Linked DNA regions of Schizosaccharomyces pombe. Changing the gene in region 2 together with the main gene of any one other region gives a genetic interaction. Each region holds a gene or a part of one and is shown on either strand. Other genes may lie near its edges.

Region 1 (3,759 bases), on a different chromosome or scaffold from region 2:
TTTCCTTTTCATCATGATGAATATCGTGCTTAGGATTTTTCAACATTTCCGCTTTGTTTAATAGATCATAAATCGTTTCATTGTAAATTTCCAAAAACTGACCTCTCAATTTATACACCCACCCTTTCTCCCTCAAGGTTGATAGATAATTAAATATATGCTTAATTGACATCGCTATCATACCGTCTTGTGACGACATTGTGTACGTCTTACCCGATCCTGTTTGTCCATATGCAAATATACTAACATTATAACCATCAATAGCGCTTTGAATTAACTGTGATATTTCCTCAAAAACGGACGAGTTATCGCTTTCAGGAGCAAAGACTCGATCAAAGGAAAATTCATAATTACGATCATAAGTATGCCCGAGTGATGATTCAACATTAGGCCCTTTAAGAATAAGTTTTTGTGGCTCTAGTGCGTCTTTATCTGGAAATTGTAAAACATCAGCAATGCAATATTCGGATTCTTCACTTGGGAGTAGTGGTCTAACCCTACAAAAAACTCGAATATTTCCCTTTAGTTCTTGAATGTCGTTATGCAGCTTTCGTCTGATTATTTCTTCTGCTAACAGTTTATTATACATATCTTCATTTCTCCGTTCCAGCTGTTGGATTCGAGCTTGTAGTTCCAATGCGTTCTGGCCATTATTTCTTTCTTTATCTTGAATACTTGCAACATATTTAGAAAGTTCTTCAAGTTTTTCAGATGTAGAGTGGTGTTTATGCTCTTCCTTTAACAGTTTATTTCGAAGCATGTCAATTTCAGCTAACTTGTCTTCTAATTCTATACGCAGAGAGGAGATTTTTTCTTCATATTCTTTTTCCGAGTATGATTTTTCCGATTCATATTCTTTTACTGCCATTTCCAACTCAGATATTCTCCTTTTAAGCTTTTTAACCGTTAAATCATTCTCATATTCAATGTGGGATATTCGATCATTTTCTTCTTGTTGTTTCATTTCTAATAAGTCCAGAATTTTTTCTTTAAAACGCAAAATTTTCTCAGTACAAGAACCTTGTATCAGCACTAGAGCTCTCCGAAGTGATTCACAAATATTGGCATATTCATGTTTATATGACTTTACTTCGTTCTCAACAAAATCCCCAAAGGATTTTCGTTCACCATTTAGATTACAAACTAGAGAATGTGTTTTCTTTTCATGATAAAGTGCAAGTTCTTTGTGTTCTCGACGTAGCTTTTGGTAGCTTGCATTCGCAGCTTCTAACCTTTCCTTGGCTTCCTTCAACTGGATATTCGATATCGATAATTCAGAGGAAAGATTTTCTTTTGTTTCTAAAACTTTAAAATAGTTAGTAATCAAATAAAGTCAGCATAAAGACATGTATTCTTACTATCTTGCTTGGCCTTTTCTGCTGCCTCTCTGTATGATTGAAGTTGTAACGAATATTCATGATCCTTTTCAGCGTAAACCTGTTCTTGTACCTGAAGATGTGATCTAAGGTTCAAGTATGCAGACTCAATATCATCGGTTTCGTCTTTCGATAATAAACGATGTTCGCCATTAGATAGCATATGCAACCTTTCTAACTGTATAATATTTTTTGGTTTGCTTTTTAAATCTTTTATTCTCTTTAATGTATTAGAAGAAGCCATAGCTTGATCACTCTCGTAGGCTAACGTTGATTCGCATATTGTTTTATGAGATTCAATGAGATCTTTTAATTGAGGCAGCCAACTCTCTTTAAATTTGGAAACAGATTCTTCGTAATTAGATTCATGAGTAGAAGCAATTGGCGCTGTGACTACAGCGGCCTTGTCTCGATTGCTGTCCCTCTTCTTGCCATTAATGTCGCTTTGTAAAACGTGATTTTTTGATACGAAATTTTCGTATTTCAAATCATGTACTGCATCCTCTTGATTTGTTTTAATAATTTTTTTTGGTCGATATATTAAGTCCTCAGAATCTGTGTTTAAAGCATCTTCCTGTCGTTTATACCCTGTGTTTATGGAAATGTCCTTTGTATTCTTTCGCATTAATAAGATAAGTTACTCAGAAGTACCTCTTACCTCAATTACCATCTATAAGTTAAAAAGAGCGTTTTATAGAGTAATTCTTCCCAATACTATAAACACGAATTTATCAGCTCGACAAAACAGATTTTGATTAGCAGATGCTTTAAGAAACGTAAAACTATTTTACGTGGGTTAAATATGAGTGTTAAATTGTTAAGCAAATTCCAATGCTACGCATCATTATATGTCTCAAGCCTCTCGTGTATATCCATCTATGTTATTAATCAATGGTGTATAGAATACAATTGATTCCATTAACAAATAGTACTTAAGTAATATTATTTATATTATGTAATTCCACATTCCCTGATTGATTTTTGGAATATCTCAAACAAATTCAGTGTATCCTTACGTGTCTTTAAGTGAATTACAAAGTCCGCGGAAATGTGTAACACTACCTAAAATTTCGGTGAGCTTATATTACGATTTGCCATGTAGCGGTAGGTTGTACGTTTAACTAACAATTGTTACTTTTATTACTTTAAAGAAGTCTAATAGTGTCCAGTCAGCGATCTAGCTAACGACTAAACTAAAGGAGCGAGGTTCAGTTGTAGCTTTATTTAAAATGTCTCGATTAATTTATATCAATTGGAATATATTTAGATAGATGGAATTTTATCCGTAACTATGAATAAATAGATCTTAACTACTATTCTAGCAGGCGATATTTAGTGATACGAAACGATGTATATTATAGCGTAGTGTAGAATTGCTGACACCCAAAAACCTTTAATGTATTATGGTGTTTTTTATAATATCCATCGCTATAACTCTTAAATCAGTAGCCTGAAACTTAGCTTTGACCAATGTCTACGATCTTAAATTCAACTTAATAGACAAAATAAATGAAGATATGGAATAATTTGTTTTGTATATAATGAGTATAGAGTTTGTCGGATGGTTAAATACATATTACGTTGGCATTGATCAGAGTTCATATGAAGCTAGTAAGCTTCCAGGTATTCGAAATGTAAAAGGTGGAATTCATCTTTTCACTTGGTCTCCAACATACCCTGCTGGATTAATTTCTGGAGTTTTTGCTATGGTCCATGAAGATATGAAATATAGTATCGACTTTGATTCGAAATCTGAAACAGCTTCTTTGCAGAAGCTTGATGTATTATATGACGAAAACTTTTATCCCTTTGAATCAACAAAGGATTGGGACTTGTTGACGAAGTTCATTACAGTTCAAGATCTTCAAAGAATTTTTGCTACTGAAGGTGAATTTTTCTACTTAGACACTTCAACGTATGTCAACGCTGATCTTGTGTCACAAGATCCGGAATTCTCAAAACCCTCTCGAGACGATAAACTATTAAATTTCGCTGAATTCAATTTACGACGAAGCTGGTCGCCGTCTGCCACTGGACCTGAACGGTCTAAGCAAGCAATTGATAAATCGTTTTTGTTTCAAAGACTCGTCCAAAGCGTGTGGAATGACAATCCCATCTCTGCATTAGCGGAATTATCAATTTCCTTTCTGAGCTACTCTATTCTCTCCCACTATGGTGCTTTGGAGCATTGGAAGAATATGTTGAGTTTGCTATTGCAGTCTTATGAATTGGCGGAAACTGAACCAGAGTTTTACGCTTCCTTTTTGGAGCTTTTCAAACTTCAGCTTAGCTCACTAAGTGAATCCGACTTAGAAACGTCTGCCATTTTTGAGAAAGGCGTTTTACTATCTTGCCTTGATAGTCTAAGTGAAAGGAAAGTGGA
Region 2 (3,759 bases):
AACTTGCTCAACCTCAGGTCCCAAAATAATAAAATTCTCTCTCATTACTGCGCGATGATATTTCATGAGTTGAACAACTTGTTGCATTACTTCACAAGGCTTGGGCATGTTTTCTGGCCAAGTAAACTCCTTTCTAGCCGTATCTCCAACTCTTAATAATGATTTCAAGTGTTTCTTAACCTTATCCATAGTATCCTTGGCAGCATTAGAATCATCTAACAGATCTTTGCGAACTTTGAGTAAGTCGCTAGGAATAGTTTCTTGCTCCAAAAAGGCCATTGCAAAAATTTCAGCAGAAGCAGAGACACGTCTTTCAGAAGATGTGTATATTTCGACATCTTTCAGGCAATCACGATTCATAATATACAGGTCCTTATGAAACTGCTCTCCTAAATCCTTAGATTGGTATCTCGCGGAATGAGTAAATTCACCACCCCATTTGATAATTAGCTGCAGTTTCAAAAGCTTTCCCTCTGGGGAATAAGCCGGTTTAAGTTGCACTTTTGTCCCCGGTAAGTCTTTCTTCGTTTCCAAAGCTAAGCGTAACTGTTTTAACTTGTTGATATCTTCGCATTTGAGTTCTGTAGCAAGGTTGGTAGCTGCCAAAACAGAATTGAGTTGTTCGTTTCTTAAAATAACTTCCTCGGTATGACCTTGCAATAATTTTACAAATGGATCAGATGTAAATGAAAACTTAAACTTTTGTTTAGGTGTACGATCCGCGTGACGCAGGACTCCGACCAAACTTTTAAGTCTCCATGCCTCACTTTCTCTAGGCGGAGGATTTAAAACTTCTTGGACTGAAGGTACACGATTCCGTCTATGACGTTCGGCAACATGAAACATTTGTTTCAAAATTCGAGCAGCATTATCATAATAATCGTTGTTATCCTTGACGAAGGACCATCCATTCACATCAATCACATACGACTGACCTGAGACACGAAGAAGATCAAATCCACAAACAGGTTGCTCAAACGCAATTGATATCTTAGAGGCCATATTTTTTTCTTCCTCTGAAAGATTGGTGATAAACCTAATTTCCTTACCATGTGGATTCCTTCTCACAATTCCGTCCACTACGGGTGATTTGCGGGTTTCTGCATGGCTGTAATGAGGACCCACGGTATAAACCTTTACGTCTTCCGCGTTATCGACATTCATGAATTCCTCGTAAATAAAAGATCCTTCAGTGCGTGGAGCACAAAGATCTGGATCATAATCTGAAGACTTATTTGCGACTTTACGAAATAATTTGCGACCTCCCCCACCAACGGATTTAGGGAAATAAATATAAATATTGTGATCTTCACCATAGACTGGTTTTTCAACGTACGGCTTCTTTATTATCTTGCCATCAACAGAAAGAGTATCTTCGTCCAACATTTTTACTTCTGGGGTAGGAACCTCTGTGATTTCTATTCCAAACTTTCGACGCAACTTTTCTTCTAGGACTTTATTAATTTTAGGACCTCCATCACGAGAGCAAATCAAACGCTGAGGGGTGGAAACACGTATGGCATCAAGGATGTTCAACACAAGCCGTCTATCCCAAAGCAACTCTTGGAATACTACATCGTTTACACAAAAAGGTTTACGCAACTCGACATACTTTTCAGCTTTCTTCAATGGAAATCCACTAGAGTAGAAACATATCAAATAATCACAAGCAGGCCAATTTTCCACAGCTTCGTCCAAAATCATGTTGTCACCGAATACTATGGCTTCAAACTCACCTTCTGCGATGATTCTGTTCAGAATATTCCGACATGGTTTTGAGCGAGCTTTGGCATCCATGGCACAGATTCCAACTACATTTCGTTTAGTAGGTGTAACGATTGAGGAAACAGGCGACGCCGTTCTGGTAGATGACTCTGTGTCGATAGATGTAAGATGACTTGCATTTTGAATCATCCTTTATTATTCAACTACGTTAAAATATTTAATAACGCTTAAAACACCTTTTTCCCACTTGTATTCTTTCAATGGCCAATTCCCTCACTTGTTTGGTTATGAGAGATGTAGGTACACGGTGTTAGTACACACCTAGTCGATCAATGTTACTTGTACGGTTAACCTTACAATTCAGCGAGGTAACATTTGTTTACCTAACGAAATGTAAATAAATAAGAAATTGTTGCTTAAATGAAGTGGACAGTGAATATTGAATTTGTTTCGCAGTAATGCTTCTATGAATAACTTTTTTACTAATTATACTGGGTTAGTTAATTTGGGTTTTCATAAAAATTTTTTTAACCAAGCCCAGTTTCTGTTATTCTTCTTTCAAAAACGTATTCTTCCAGTTTAGTAAAAGCTTGTAAAATCCATCAATATTAAATTAAAAAAGAATTAGAAAAAATTTTTGTTTAATAGGTTTTTACTTTTCGTCCGTGCGAAAACACGTGGACTGGAATGTTTAAATTTTACAAGCAACAAACATTAAAAAATTACTTCTACTAGCTGGGTTCAAGAGTATATTGTTCTCGCACCTTTTACATAAAGAAAAATATTTTTTAAGAATTTACTGAAATTTATTTCATTATTTACAAGCCCAGAATTCCAACAATCATAGATTTACCTTACCACTTTTTGATATATGTGAATAGAGTTCTTTAGGTATTCTGAAGAGAATGTAGAAGTTTTGCTAACATGTTTTTACGATTAAATCTTACAATAACATTAGACATCAATGTTTAGTTCTCTTTTTTTTTTAATAATAAATAATTTGTTTACTTAAATAAACGGAACAATAGCAGAACGATTCTTATTTATAATTACCGAAAATTGATATATGACGGATTGACCATATCGTTAAACACATTTATCGATTTCAGTAAATACACTGTCGTAAATTAACGATTATTACTGTAGGTCGTAAAGGGTTGCTAGAATTTCACAAACACTGCTTTTTGCAAGTTACAGGACAAGAGCCATCCTTTGCCATTTTACGTGCTATTTGTGTTCTTTCCTGTGATAAAATGCCATTTGCAGAGAAGAAACGGAGGACTTATGAAAATGCGGTGAAGCCTCTAAGAAAATCTAGGATCTATGCTCGTAAGTCAAAATTCTCTCTTTTTCTTTTGGAATGAACAGATTGCTAACTGTATTTTTAGCCTTTAGATCCATCGGTCACGTTTCCAATGCAGTACCTTTCGACATTGAGGCTCGTGGAACCCATTTTTTGGTAACAACGTCGGTGGGAAACACATTTCAAACATATGACTGCGAAAAGTTGAATTTGCTTTTCGTTGGCAAGCAATTAGACAAGGAAATTACTTGTTTAAAATCCTTTAAAGATTTCATGCTTGTAGCTGCCGGATCAAAAATTTTTGCATATAAACGTGGTAAAATAATATGGGACATTGATGTGGAGCAAGAACATGGAACAGTCACTCATTTAGATGCTTTTGGTGAGTGGATTATTGCTTGTACATCTTCTCGTCATGTTTATGTATGGAAACACGCTTCTAAATATAGTGTTCCTGAGCTTCATACTACATTTCTTCCTAATACCAATGCAGATATCACTAGTTTACTACATCCAAGCACTTATTTGAACAAAATACTGCTAGGATTCTCAGATGGAGCATTACAGATTTGGAATTTGCGTGTTTCTAAACGTGTACATGAATTTCAGGAATTTTTTGGTGATGGAATCACTAGTTTAACACAAGCCCCTGTCCTCGATGTTTTAGCTGTTGGTACTATTAGTGGTCGTATTGTAATCTTTAATCTTAAAAATGGTTCAATACTCATGGA
Region 3 (3,759 bases), on a different chromosome or scaffold from region 2:
ATTGAATGACTTACAACAAATCTCATATTTACTATTCTATAACACCGAGAAGGTATCAATTGCAACAGTGTTTTTCGTTTAACCGAACAAAAATTATGCAAAAACTAAAGTCTAAAAACGACGTCGCAAGCAAATCTCTTCTAATAATATATGCATCAAAATTTTTTCGACTCTTTCAACTGAAATCTAGCTGTCTAAATACCCCCACTGACTGGAAAATAGATATTTTTCGATAGATTGAAAAATACACTGGCAATAAAAGAAGCAAACTCCCACTTTAACGGGTTGAATAGAGATAAGCCGGCTGTTTCAATTTGTTTGTTCAAGCAAAATGTCAATTAGTGAACCTCCTAAAAAAGAAAATTTCGATAAAAATTAACGACTCCATATGGTAGAATAATCAAGGAAAGATATACAGCCCAATATTGGACTTTAAGTAGTAATTAAATAACAAAGAAGGAGATAGCAGTAGAACTGCGGTGTCATACAAATAAATATCAGCTAGTAAGGAGACTATTTAAAAAACTTCCTTTTACTCTTCTCATTTTCGGCCGCAGCTTTAGCTTGCATTAACCGATTTTTGTGATCAATTAAGTCAGCTTTTTGCTTCTCCAATGCTGCCTTCATTTCGCGATGACGGGTACGTAACTCGTTTTCAGATTGTTTAAGACGATCTTCTTTTTCTTGAACCTTCTGAGAAAAAATGGTTTTCATTTCTGCTTCCATTTTCATCAATTTCTCTTCGTGTAAGGCACGCTCCTCTTCGAGTTTAGCACTAGGGTTGACTTCACGAAAAACGGAGTGATCTTGTGATATTCCGCTGCTAAGCAACCGTTCAGTACGATACGCTTCATACAGCTTATTTGTCTGTTCTTTGAGTTCTTCTAAGTGTGTTCGAATAAGCATTTCACGAAGCTTAGGGAAATCAGAATGCTCTTCATTATCGACTTCAACAACGCCCCATGGGTACCGCCTCCCGCGGACGCGCTTTCCTTCATTGTTGACCACGAATGTATTAGAAGCAATTATAGCAAAAGGTATTCTACTCATGATGTCTGCATTTTCTGCCACTGATTCAGGATCATCGGTCTCATATGTCGGAGGGAAGAAAATTCTGATATTGTGGTATTGGATATCTCTCAAAATCTATCATTTTTTCATTAGCAACTTTAAATCAAGATTAGGGCTTACCATTTCCTTCGTAAAGTTAAGTTCATCATCCGTTAGTGTATCGGCTTTCGCAATGATGGGTATAATATTTACTTTCTCGTGCAAAGCCAACATAACTCGAAGCTCCATAGCACTTATAGCATGACCAGTAGGCTGAATAAAAAATATACAAGCATGAACTCTTGGATCTTGAATAGTAGATCGAGGATTGTGCTTTTCAAGCTCAAGATATTGATCATAGCGACCCTCGATATCTGTCAAAACTGGTTGCCAACAATCGGTGTTGTCAATAAAATCGCCAAAACCGGGTGTATCAATTACATTTAATTGAAGACTGATACCATTTTCCACTATTTCAACTGCAGAAGAGTTGATCATAACAGTGGGTTCTGGGTTCACTCCAAAATCCCCAGTTAAAGATTTCTGGGTCGGTGGGTAAACATCTCTATTCAATAGCGTATTCACAAGTGTAGATTTCCCTGAACCGCTTTCCCCTAATACTAATACGTTGAAATTAAAACCTTGACGAACACAACGACGATGCCATTGATTAGGAAGACTAGCGAATCCAACGTATCCGTTCAACTGACGCTGGATTATACTAACGTGCGGATTGAACTAAATATTAGTAAAGGAATTTTAAATAATTGATTACCTCTTGTTCAGAATTATCCTGAATGGGTTTTTCTTCATTCTTGTTTTCTGAAATGGCTGCCTCAACATTTATTTGCGTTACATTATCTGTAGATGTGAAAGAATCAACGTCGGAACCCCTGCTTCTAGTGGAATCATCTTTAACTGTAGGCATACCATCCGCGAGTACCATTGACGCCATGTCAGAAATTATCGAAAACCCCCGTGTTGGTGGTTATGTATGTGATGAAGAGTGTAGCTAGGAGCTCGAGCATGAACATCTATTTGCTCAAGTAGGAAATTAAACTTAACCAATTTTTTTCTTAATTATGTTTCACGAAATTATAGAGCTTTTTTGAAATTTCTTAATTCACTGTCGCGTCGAATTTAGGTCCTTAACCTCGAAATATACACGGCTGGGATGCATTAAATAAAAAGATACTAAACATTGTTATTCCATTGTTTTAGTTGTCTTGTTAATTTTACAATTATTTTTTTTAACAATTGGATAAATCTAATGAATTAAAATTATCCATTATCTGTATTTGTTTAAAAACATTTTTTGACCTTTTATTTATACCTAAATTATTTGTTTGAATACCCTTTCAGCATGCAATCATCTAAATCTTTTGAATTTAATTTAAAATATTTATTTTTCTATTAATATAGAACCTTGGGCAGTAGTCGTTGAATTGAGCATTAATGCAAATCCAATTTATTGCACAACTGATTATTTATTCAATTGAACTTGTACGTCGACAATGTGACCCTCAACGATTTTAAAGATTTAATTATTAGACATAAAACACAGTTAGAAATTATTGCCTGGCCAACATTTTCATGCTAATAGATGATTCAGAAACAAATATCTATATTTCTTTTCCTACGAAAAAGTAAGATCAAACTAAAACATTAGAAGCTTGTTTACCGTATATTTTTGATCTTAAAGGACTTTTAAGATAAATTTGAACTTATTATAAATAATAAAATGTTAAAAAAAAATTTAACATAATAGGATCATTTTTACTAATTAAATAACGATTATATTAGTCTTTATAACAGCGTTTACAGTCTCCGAATTGCAGTATAAGCTCTAAAACTCAATTGAATAAAGGCATTTAATAGTCAATCATTGTTTTGTTTTCCTTCTAGCTATTTCAGCTCTTCTTGCTATCAAAGCACGGAATGACTTAACGCGGTGTTGTGTGGCTGGTATCAGAGAAAGAATAACTCCAGTAAAGGTACGCAAGCAATCCCAGTATGTCGTCGTTAAAACTATGAATATAATATGTCAAAAATTAATGTGAAAAGACGTTAATCAACACAATATAGAAGTACGTGTCTTATATTAAGAAATCGAAATATCTATAATTGAATTTAATAACGAAATCTTGCGTGACTACGCTATTAATTCTAGTTGTTATGAATACAGATGGGATCAAGGTAACTGGTATTCACCTCCTTTTCGACGTAACCAGAGCCACACATTATACTGGACAAAGGCGTTCTCTGGCGGCGGAATCGAACCAATATATAAGAAAACACTCAAATTCTGGGTTTATTGGAGGAAATTTTTTATTTTAAAAACAGTTTCTTTTACTCGAAAAAGCGTTTTTAATACTTCTTTCTTTGGCTTTGTTTTTACTCGATAGGGGCAAAACCTGTACAAGCTTGATTCGTGAACGTACGACATAATCCTTTGTTTGTATTAATGCTTAAATTATCTTAAGTATTTATTAACGGGGTATTCACTAGTTGAAATACATTTATATATATAAGGTGTTACTTTCGCGACTACAGCTGTTAGCCGTTGCTTTTTTAAGGAATTCGCATAATTATTTAAGAACTCGATTCTGTTTAGACCCACAAAACAACATCCAGATTCGGGTTGATTTTAATTTTTAACTCTCTATTTTTATTACTCTTATTAAATTGTGCCCTTCCATTTTTATTTAT

The links.
Region 1: of asp1 (region 2) and pkl1, extra expression of one impairs growth in a mutant of the other (dosage growth defect), as found in Schizosaccharomyces pombe (one study listed by BioGRID).
Region 3: of asp1 (region 2) and spn1, changing one suppresses a phenotype caused by changing the other (phenotypic suppression), as found in Schizosaccharomyces pombe (one study listed by BioGRID).

What each region holds. Positions count from the first base shown.
Region 1 is NC_003424.3:3,437,220-3,440,978, reverse strand, and holds the start of pkl1 (kinesin-14 family minus-end directed microtubule motor Pkl1), read right to left. Parts: upstream 2,090-3,759; 5' UTR 2,047-2,089; coding exon 2,035-2,046; intron 1,997-2,034; exon of another isoform or gene 1,993-1,996; coding exon 1,359-1,992; intron 1,306-1,358; coding exon 1-1,305. Other genes in the region: U5 snRNP-associated protein Aar2, read left to right, coding at 2,918-3,759.
Region 2 is NC_003421.2:572,559-576,317, forward strand, and holds the start of asp1 (inositol hexakisphosphate kinase/inositol pyrophosphate synthase), read right to left. Parts: upstream 2,015-3,759; 5' UTR 1,915-2,014; coding exon 1-1,914. Other genes in the region: U3 snoRNP-associated protein Utp21, read left to right, coding at 2,979-3,054, 3,114-3,759.
Region 3 is NC_003424.3:4,851,332-4,855,090, reverse strand, and holds the start of spn1 (mitotic septin Spn1), read right to left. Parts: upstream 2,052-3,759; 5' UTR 2,006-2,051; coding exon 1,826-2,005; exon of another isoform or gene 1,789-1,825; coding exon 1,192-1,788; intron 1,147-1,191; coding exon 514-1,146; 3' UTR 1-513. UniProt on the Schizosaccharomyces pombe protein: Plays a role in the cell cycle. Involved in a late stage of septum formation leading to the separation of the daughter cells.